Yarrowia lipolytica: one gene and its partner. The protein of the gene in region 1 interacts with the protein of each later gene in a biochemical or structural test. Links are inferred from orthologs where the notes say so. Each region holds a gene or a part of one and is shown on either strand. Other genes may lie near its edges.

What was found.
Region 2: the proteins of YALI1_B18645g (region 1) and YALI1_D02546g interact in a test that uses a peptide from one of them, tested with the Saccharomyces cerevisiae proteins (2 studies listed by BioGRID). The link is inferred for Yarrowia lipolytica from reciprocal best matches to the Saccharomyces cerevisiae genes ABP1 and APP1.

What each region holds. Positions count from the first base shown.
Region 1 is NC_090771.1:1,862,595-1,867,525, forward strand, and holds YALI1_B18645g (uncharacterized protein), read left to right. Parts: upstream 1-2,000; coding exon 2,001-4,397; downstream 4,398-4,931. Other genes in the region: YALI1_B18631g (uncharacterized protein), read right to left, coding at 1-570; YALI1_B18687g (uncharacterized protein), read right to left, coding at 4,697-4,931. UniProt on the Saccharomyces cerevisiae protein: Regulates ARP2/3 complex-mediated actin assembly. Recruits ARP2/3 complex to sides of preexisting actin filaments, which may promote nucleation or stabilization of filament branches. Binds to actin filaments, but not actin monomers.
Region 2 is NC_090773.1:251,495-256,625, reverse strand, and holds YALI1_D02546g (uncharacterized protein), read left to right. Parts: upstream 1-2,022; coding exon 2,023-4,410; downstream 4,411-5,131. Other genes in the region: YALI1_D02563g (uncharacterized protein), read right to left, coding at 1-305. UniProt on the Saccharomyces cerevisiae protein: Mg(2+)-dependent phosphatidate (PA) phosphatase which catalyzes the dephosphorylation of PA to yield diacylglycerol. May play a role in vesicular trafficking through its PAP activity at cortical actin patches.

The DNA of each region.
Region 1 (4,931 bases):
GGCCTCGGTTGGGGTGTCGAGGATCTCCTGTGGGCTCGGAAATTTGCCATCTTCGCTTCCTTCGACTGGAAACAGTTTCTTGAACTTCTTGAGAATCGACTCGGCAGCTGCTCCAGATACCTGTTGTCCAATGATGCCCCTTGTAAGATGTTCGAAGCAATTGTTACACTTTCTGTTGGTTCTGGACTCTTGCCGAGTAGCAGCTTCTTTGACAAAAGAAGTGAACTCGGACGAGTGTACGATATCCTCCAGAGAAGGATCGACATCGAGAATGTACTTGAGGCCCTTGGAGAAATCTGATTCGTAAATTTCGTCCCAGTGACTGTTGTCTTTGGTTACAGGATCTAGCTTGGGTATCAGCTTGATAGACTCAGCCAGGGAAATCTTAGGGGCTGGAGCCAAGGGAGTAGTAGGGATCTCAAGCTTGGTTTTCTGTCTTTTGGGAGTACTGGGAGTCACCACAGGCGCTGTTGTTTCAGGTTCAGCCAGACTTCGCTTGGTTCGCGTTCTTGTTGTCGCAACCATCACCAGTTTGTGGATCGAAGGACGGCGGAAGATGTTCATGCGCATGACATCTGTGAAGGAGGGGTTAGGGATTGTGGGTCGTTATTAAAGTGGAGAGAGAAATGTTGCTGTCAGCAAGATGTATTTTCAGTGGAATGAACGACGTTTTGTATGAGAATCAGATACAAATTGCACTCATCTCTCAAATACTTTCTTGTCCTTGAAAGAGTCAAATGTAAACGTGTTTTCAATTGACAATAATACGTACATACTGTACTCTTACCACACCCACTTTAAATGCAATGCCATTGTTGCGATAAAGCTGAGTTTATCGATGAGATATTGTAATACATTGGGTAAACTACTGCACGAGTACGAGTACTGTACATACTGTAGGGATTGTGTAGCATTTTCTCTTCTGGCCAATAGGATGACACGGCCATGATGGCTATCGCTAGAAAAACAAGATTTTGGCTTATATATAGTCAATCACTCACATTTTGAGAACATCCCTCACACTCAGTTTATCCCTCATTTTACTTGACAGCTTAAACCACTCAAGTGGAGACAGATATCAGCCGTATGGCTTAGCTACAGTAGAGACTACAATTAGTTCCAAATTGAATAGAGACCGTGCGAGATTCAAATTTCATCGTGACTAGACCGCATGACTCACACTTTTCATTATCTGTTGCGCATTGACCATAAGTACTTGAACGTCGTACATATCGCCTACAGCATCTATTTCCAACTCATGGTTTGATCATACGTCATACATGTGTGCTGCGTGGATGGTGTTGCGGATAAAAGCCCGCGTAAATTGACCTCCTGGGGGCTGTGTACACTGACCTTTGGGGATACAAAGAGTGGCTAGCAATACTAGTTATAGAAAAGAGCGACTCAATAAAGCTGCTTAAATCCGATCCCAATTGGGTGGTTCATTCGCTTGAAAGAGCTTGAAAGTCCATCCGGAGATAGCAACAGACAAAAATCCGGTTTATGCAGAACAGCCAGACGTACAACAACAAGTACAATGAAAAAGAGGACAGCAAGGACATGTTGTCACAATTCACAGTCTGGCACTTGCTATTTATCTTGTCAGTCACTGCAAATCAAGTAAAGGGTCGTGAGACGGCATCTAGGCTACGTCTGGCTTATTGTAACTACCAGTACGAGGTGTAGTGCTGAGACATAGACAATACAACTCTGTACAGGTAGAGAGCAGCCTTCATGCGGGGTAGGGGAGGCATACAAGAGAAGAATGATACCCCCAACCACAAACAATTGTCCATTACAAACACATTCTCATCCTTACTTTTTTTCATATCACCCCTCTATCACCCATTCGAACCGCTCCACCATCCGATTGCTCCGAGCTTTAAACTCCACATCACAGTGCATGGTTGGTCTATAACTCTCAATTAGCTCACCACTTGTACATAGTCTCTCCACACACACACTCTTACACACCCAATTACCGCAACACACGTTTCAACATGTCTCTCGACCTAGCTACCAACGGCCAGCAGATCAAGGACGTGTACGGCGCCATTGTCAGCAATGACCCCGAGTTCCCCTGGGCAATCTTTGGTTATGCCACCTCTCCCACAGCGTCCTCGGCCACCATCAAGGTCGCAGCCATCCCTGAGTCTGACACTTCCACTCTGGCCGATTTCCTCGACGAGTTCGAGGAGGGCAAGCTGCAATACGGCCTGGTCCGAGTCCCCGACCCTCACTCGAAGCTACCCAAGATTGTCTACGTGGGCTGGTGTCCTGAGGGAGTCCCCGACCCTCGAGCCAAGGGTGTCTTCAACCCCCATCTCCATGCCCTTGGAAATCTCTTCCACGGCTACCACGTCCAGGTGACTGCCCGAGACCGAGACGATCTCACTGAGGATGTGATCCTGGAGCGGCTGGAGCGAGCCTCTGGTGCCAAGTACGGAGCCACCTCATCCAGAAAGCCCGGAATCTCGTCGGCCATCAAGACCAAGCCCACCTACACAACGCAAAAGTCTGGAGCCGATGAGGAGGACTGGGGAGACGCCCCTGCAGTGGAAACCAAGCCCGTCTCCAAGCCCACACCTGTTGAGTCGTCCTACAAGCCCGTCAAGGTTGACCTGGCCGAGATCCGAAAGAAGGGAGGACCCTCGACCTTCACGTCCGAGGGACGAGACGCCGACTCAGATCGAGGCATTGTCGGTGGCTCCTACAAGCCCGTCGGTAAAATTGACATTGCAGCCATCCGAGCCCAGGGCAAGGGACACAAGGAGTCCTTTGAAAACACCCCCATCAAGACGGACCTCGACAAGCCCAAGCCCAAGGCCACTCCTAAGCCTACCTCTAAGCCTGCCCCTGTCGCCGATGTTGAGGATGAGGACAACCAGAACGGGGACGAGGACGGCGAGCCTATGTCTCTCAAAGACAGAATGAAGGCCTTCCAGAAGCCCTCCAAGTCTTCTTCTACTCCCACTCCCTCCAAGAAGCCCCCTACCACCATTGGTGGAGACGACGACGATGAGGAGGATGAGACCCCCAAGTCTGTTAAGGACCGACTCAACGCTTTCTCCGGGTCTGGACGGCTCACCGAGATGCCCAAGCCCAAGATCGACAAATCTGCTATCCAGTCTCGATTCACACCCGCTGCCTCTCGAGGAACCAAGCCTCTGGCCCCCGCCGGTGATCTGTCGTCTCAGTATGGTCTCAAGACCTCAATTGTGTCTGGTGGATCCCGAGATTTTGCCTCTGAGAACGGTAAGACTCCCGGTCAGATCTGGGCTGAAAAGCATGGAAAGACTCCCCAGCCTGACGTGGCCGTGCCTTCGTCTACCTCCAACGTCTCTTCTGCATCCGACAAGTTCTCCAAGCTGTCTGTGAACGACGATGATGAGGAGGACAAGAAGACTCCTGCTTCTTTCGGTGGTGATGACGACGAAGATGACGAGCCCCACGCATCGGTTTCCGCTCTTCGAGGTGCCTTCAATAAGCCGGCCGTGCATGACGAGCCCAAGAAGTCCACCCCCGCCCCTGCTTCTCGAACCATTCCTCCTCCCCCTCCTTCCGCCTCTCGAGTAAACGACGACGACGATGATGAGGACGAGGACGATGCTCCCGCTGTCTCTGTCTCTGCTCTCCGAGGCGCCTTCAACAAGCCCGCTGCTGCCGACGAAGATGATGCTCCCCCTCCTCCTGCTCGAACAGTGCCCCCGCCTCCTCCCTCTGCATCTCGACCCCCCGCTGATGAGGATGACGACGATGAGGACGAGCACAACAGCTTCTCCAAGGGCGCCTCTGCTCTTCAGGCCGCCTTCTCTGCTGGTGCTGGTACCGGAGGACCTCCTCCTCCTCCTGCTCGAGGAGCTGCCAAAGATGAGGAAGAAGATGATGCTCCTCCCCCCATGCCTGCTCGACACGCCCCTCCTCCCGCCAACGACGATGATGCCCCCCCTCCTATGCCTGCTCGACATGTTGCTAACGACGCTCCTCCTCCTCCCATGCCATCTCGACCTGCTGCCGATGAGCCTCCTGCTCCCGCCCTGCCTTCTCGAGGCGGTGCTGCTGCTGCCACTCCTGCTGCTGTTGTCTCCAGCAAGCCCTCTGCCACCGTGGAGTACGATTACACTAAGGATGAGGAGGGTGAGATCGATCTCGTGGAGGACGAGATCGTCACCGACATTGAGTTCCTGGACGAGAACTGGTGGAGCGGAACCAACTCCAAGGGTGAGTCCGGTCTGTTCCCCTCCAACTATGTCAGGCTTAAGGATGGTGCTGTGCCCACCATTCCCGATCCTGCCGCGGGCTGCCGGGCGCTGCTGCCGGCGCTGCTGCCGGAGCTGGCACTGGCCCCTCTGCCATCGCCCTGTACGACTACGACGCTGCTGAGGACAATGAACTGAGCTTCGCGGCGGACGATATCATCACAGATATTGAATTCATCGACGAGGACTGGTGGACCGGATCGCTCAACGGCAAGCGAAACCTCTTCCCTTCCAACTTTGTTGAGCTCCAGGATTAGCCTAATCGTTCTATGATGTATAAATAATTATGACTTGATGGATTGAACTGATTGTAGATTACTGTGTGAATAGTCGTAGTGCTGTGTTTTGTAAACTTCTATTATAAATTACCACGTCATACTGTGTGTCTATAAGTTAGCATGCCCGTCTGGCTTCCGCGAGCAACAAGATTGTTGTGTTCAAATCTTGGATCTAATAATCTCGCTGAAGAGACGCAGGGTAGCTGCACCCTGTCCCTGTTGAGTAAGCCCTCGTCGAGCAACAATGGCAGCATGAGAATGGATCACGGTAATGTACACGGCGTACTTTTCCCAGCCTAGCTTGTCCATGTTCTCAATCATGCTGAGTACGTCCTCGGAGAAAGGCGCGTTGTTCGCCCAGTTGGCCAGCAATCCTCGGTCTCCTGTGTGTCTA
Region 2 (5,131 bases), on another chromosome or scaffold:
GGTCCTCCCTGAGGCGACTTTTGCACCCAGTACCGCTGATCGTCGTTGACAGCAGGCTTTGTGTCGTCCATGGCTCCCTCGTTTGTTCGGAACACGTGGCGAGAACCATCATCTGACCACGAGTCGCCCAGAACAATGTATCGTAGAGGTCTGATCTTGGACCCGAAGGAATGCATCAGAGCAGCCGCTGGATCGTGTCGTAGAGCGTGCCAGGACGTGGCTAGAAACAGCCATGTGATGACCAGCATGAACGAGGCCGCGACCAGCAGCGCAGCCAGGTTCTTTTTACGCAGTCGGATTCCCATGGTGTGGTGTGTGTTGTGGTGATGATGTCAGGTTAGAGTTATCATTCTATAGACATTTTGCACGTGTGAGGTATTTGCGGTGTGAAGGAGAAGTTGCTGGAAATGCACGTGACATATAACAGAGAAAATACCGTGTCCACGTGACACATCACGTGACAAAACCATCCCCGTTATCCCGAGTTCTCTCATCTCCCTACTTGCTACATATACCTCCATCTCCTTTAACGACAGCTTTGGTAAGCGGAGGTTTAAGCTCGATAGGGTTGTGGGATTCGGTGGCGAGGGAATCTGGGATGGGGGGTTTGGGGACTACACAGTGGGGTTATTAGGATATATATATATATATATATATATATATATAGCGGGGAATCAATCTGTGGACCTCGAGGAGGGTGACAATTGTGTGTGTATTTTTGTTATTACGTAATTGTGGCGTGAGATACATGGCGCACTTGTGTACATGGTAGCTGCTTCATGGGGTTTAGAATATGCGTAGAGACCCAACAATGAGTGGGCAGTTTGGTTCTAGGGGGGGTTATATTACACCGTAGGGGGACACCGTAATTGAATCTTACACAGATACTTACAATAGGCTTCTGAAAAGTCTTTTTTTTTTCTTTTCTGGAACGATTTCGTCCCCCAAAGTTTCGTCACAAATCTTACTTGGATTGCAAACAAAATTACTTTGATTTGTTGACTTCGAGACAGTTACAAAAAAAAAATTAGATAACTTTTCATAGTGTCTTGAGAACAACCACCTCTCGTGTTTACTGCAAAATGTAACTCATATTTTATAATAGTCCTAATCTGTCAGCTTCCCCGATCACATAGATACCATAAAATACAATATCCAAGTAATATATCACCTGATCAGTGCCCAAAACAAACCTCCATATCTATGCGGCTCTGAATTTGTCTTGTTCAGGTTAAGAGCAAAACTGAATTTAGAACACTCGACTGCTTAAGCTTTCGTTATCGAGCCGGAGGCGCCAAACGGATAAACCCAACATGACTATACAGCATACACACACACCCAAGAGGGAATGACAGGACACGTTATGTCGATTTACAAGTGTTCGCGACCCTTTTCTCTCATTAAAACTTCCATTTGGGCGTCTTGTTGCTGTGTTGCGTTGCTCTGCCCTTTTCCAATAAAGTTTGCTTGTGCGAGATGAGCTTGTTAACGGTTGTTTGAGAGTACAAGTACTCGTATGTACTACAAGTAGTGCTGTAGGAGGAGTCTAAACGGGATGTTTAGTAAGCCGGATAGTGGGGATACGTTGTTGGACACGTGATATAAATTTCTGCAGTTGTATGTATGTAATACATCTCTATAGATTACCCCCAAAAAGTCCACCTGTGTGTGTCTCCGTGCAACCTGCATACAAGTGAGGCAGCACAATAGCAAGTGATACATAGCAGCATCCCCCAAAGAGACGCTACTGGGGTAAACCGCCGCGAAGAAAGAGAAAGAAAAAAAGCTTTCGAGTCGTATATCATGTGCGAGACACCACACGACCCTTTTCCTCTTTGGTCTCTGCTCTTCTGACCCTCTCTTGTGACCTCTACTTGCCATCTCCCATCTCATCCATACATACACCACACGTGGATTATACTTTTTGGACTGGTCTCTTGTTGTCTTGTCCGAAAGTGAAGTGTACTTGTAGTGTGTCTGGATAACCGAACTTGTGATCGATCGATTCGCTGCACCGGTATCATGTTTTTGGCGCGATCCACGCGGCTGTCTCTCGCGTCACGTGCCCCGCTCAGTCGCCCGTTACTCGTCCACCAAAGACACTTTTCGCCGACCCTCCAGAACGCCTTTTTATCGGCTAAAAAAGAAGTTACTGCCACCACCGCACGCAAGCCCACCACAGTAGTCGCGTCCCCCAGACCCAAAGGAGCGCTCCGGTTCGAACACAAACGGAGCTTGAAGCCGTCGAAAAACGTCGTCACTGCTCTAACACCAGCCTCTCAGCCCCCTCCGGCCCCCTACATTGTCAAGAAACGCCACTCGTTTGTCTACCGGTTTTTCAAGTCCATCTTCACCCGCTGGAGCAAACAGCAGCGGTTGGAACGGCGCCTGAAACGCGAAGAGCGCAAGAAACGACACAAGGCCGGTCAGCCCAAGGGACGAGACATTGCCCGATTGCTGTACTACTACAGAGCGACCCGAAAACCATACTACTTCAAGCACTGGCTGAGAATGAGTGGATACAACACGCGCAAAATCTGGCAGTCCATCAAGACCAAGTCAGAAACGTTTGTGGCTGAGAAATTGACCCAGAACAACGAGCCGTTGGATCTGTCGGAGACGAACCTGGCACCCACAATCACAGCTTACCCCACCTACTCTCGAATGCTTCCTGATGGAACCCATGAGGTGGATATTAAGGGAACCATCTCTGTGCCTGGAGAATGGACGTCGCGAAAGAACCGGTTTATTCTGAACATGGTCAGATCGTATCTCAGTGGCAACTCCGAGGAAAAACTGGAACGAGATATTGCCGCATTGGAAGAAATTGAGAAGGAGAGACAGGGCCGAATGAGTACTAGGGGGTTCAGAAATGGAGCACAGAGTGCCAGTACCCCGGATTTGATTGATTTGGACGGATCTGAGTCGGTTTCGTCTAGATCGACTACTTCTTCACGTGCTTCATCCGTGAGGGATGGATATGAATCTCCCTCGCGTGATTCCCCTACTGCCGGTAGAAGACGAGTCCCCCCTCCCCCTGCTAGTCGCATCTATTCCAGCAGAACAACCACTATTGCCAGCAGCATCTCGCTGGACTCCACTGCCAGTTCTCAATCACTCCCCGCTGACTCTTCCCTGGAAGACACAATCATGAAGGAGCGGTTTGCGCCATTTGTGGCTCAGCCGCTCGTCAACGCCGTCCTCGATGTCACCATTATAGACGACAATGAGCACGCCACGTCGACGACTCTGCATTCCCACACTTCGGGTAAGTTTGGAACTGCTTTGCGGCTCGATTTCAAGCCAACAATCATGAAAATCCATGTCAGAAACACACCCTATTCGGTCCAGCAGGATCTCATCGATGTGTCATATGAGGGAGTGTCTCTGATTTCCGATATTGATGACACCATCAAACACACTGGAGTGACTGGAGACAAAAAGGCCATGATCAAGAACGTGTTTGTGAAGGATCTGGACGGCCTGAGTATCCCTGGAGTGGTGGAGTGGTACAACAAGTTGTCAGGACTGGGTGTTCAGACCCATTACGTCTCGAATTCACCCTGGCAGCTGTACCCGGTCATCAAGGAGTATTTGCACATGCACGGCTTCCCTAGAGGATCCATTCATCTGAAAGACTACGCTGGAGTCTTGTCTCAGCTTTTTGAAGCCCCTGCTGAACGAAAGAAGTTTAATTTGGAGCAGATTCTGCGAGACTTCCCCCAGCGACGCTTCATTCTCGTTGGAGACTCCGGAGAGGGTGATCTGGAGGCCTACGTGGAACTTGCCAAGGTCTATCCCCAACAGATTCTCGGCATCTATATTCGAGACATTACGTCTGACCGAGAACTGGACTACGACTTTCTTAGAGTCGAAATTGCTGCTCTCAAAAAGGAGGCTGATGAACGAGAACGACCAATGAAAGTGGCGCGCAAGCCTGTTCAGCCTGTAAACCTCATGGACTCTCCTATCGGCAAGAAAGTGCCTCCTCCTGTTCCTAGAAAGCCCGTTGGTCTTGCTGGAAAGAAGACCGATGAGAACGTCGACCGAGAACACACTGGAAAACCGGACTCCGCTGCGTCCAATGCTGCCATCGCTGCTACAGCGGCCTATGGAGCCCCCCCTCTGCCTCCGAGACGCAAGATTCAGCCTGAGACTATGAGAAGCATTTCTGATCAGGTCACCAGTGGATCTATGAACGTGGCAGCATCTCAGGAGACGGATGAGACACCTAGACTGTACTCTGACAATGATCGGCAGTTCAAGTGGAAGGAGCGGGTGAGACGAGCGCGAAGGGAGTTACCTGCTAATGTCAGATTGAGACTATGGAAGGAGCCTCCAAAGGTCGAAGGGGAGACACTGGAGCTGGCAAAGACGGTGGAAAAGGAACCTATTAAGGAGCTGTTATAGTCATGTAAAAAGCTCACCCAGAGCTGAAGCGAGTCGTGATCTAGAGCGGCTCTAGACTGAAGTACAGTAGGAACAACGAGCCTTTCTGGAAACGGTAGCATTTTAAATTATTTGATTAGATTTTACCTTGTTAATTTTTCAAGTAGGATTTGCTGTGTTGTAGGAGTGTACAGTATGTAGTGATATACTGCGTGACATTGACAGTTCAGCGTATCTCTCTATACTGTCTCTGATCGATTGGTTTGTTCTATAAACCTCAGAGATACTGGTGAAGTTCAGGTCCGAGAGAGTAGTACAACCAAGGCCGGAGAGGAACGAACTAGGCATGAGGATAACAAACTATTTCTATGGGCGAGAGGTTGTCATCCATTGAACGTCAACTCTCGAGTGTTTCTGGTCATTCTTCAACCTCGGCGGCTATCGAATACACGGCTATATGCAGCGGGGCTGTGTGAGTCGTGACCTACAAAAACGACTCCACAATCAGCTCTTCCTGGGCACAATAAGAACAGATGGGATTATACCAAAAGACATTAGTCTCGGAATTTTTGTCTCAATCAATAAGCCGCGGTGTATTTACCCAGTTTAGTACTTCTATCCACCAGATGTTCTCACAGCTCAGCTCCCTTGTTCTGCGTTATCTTCGGTTACTGTATCTCCTAATTTAAACTTCCCCCACAGCCTCGTATGCAAGTCGGCTAATAATAACTCCGGTATCTGA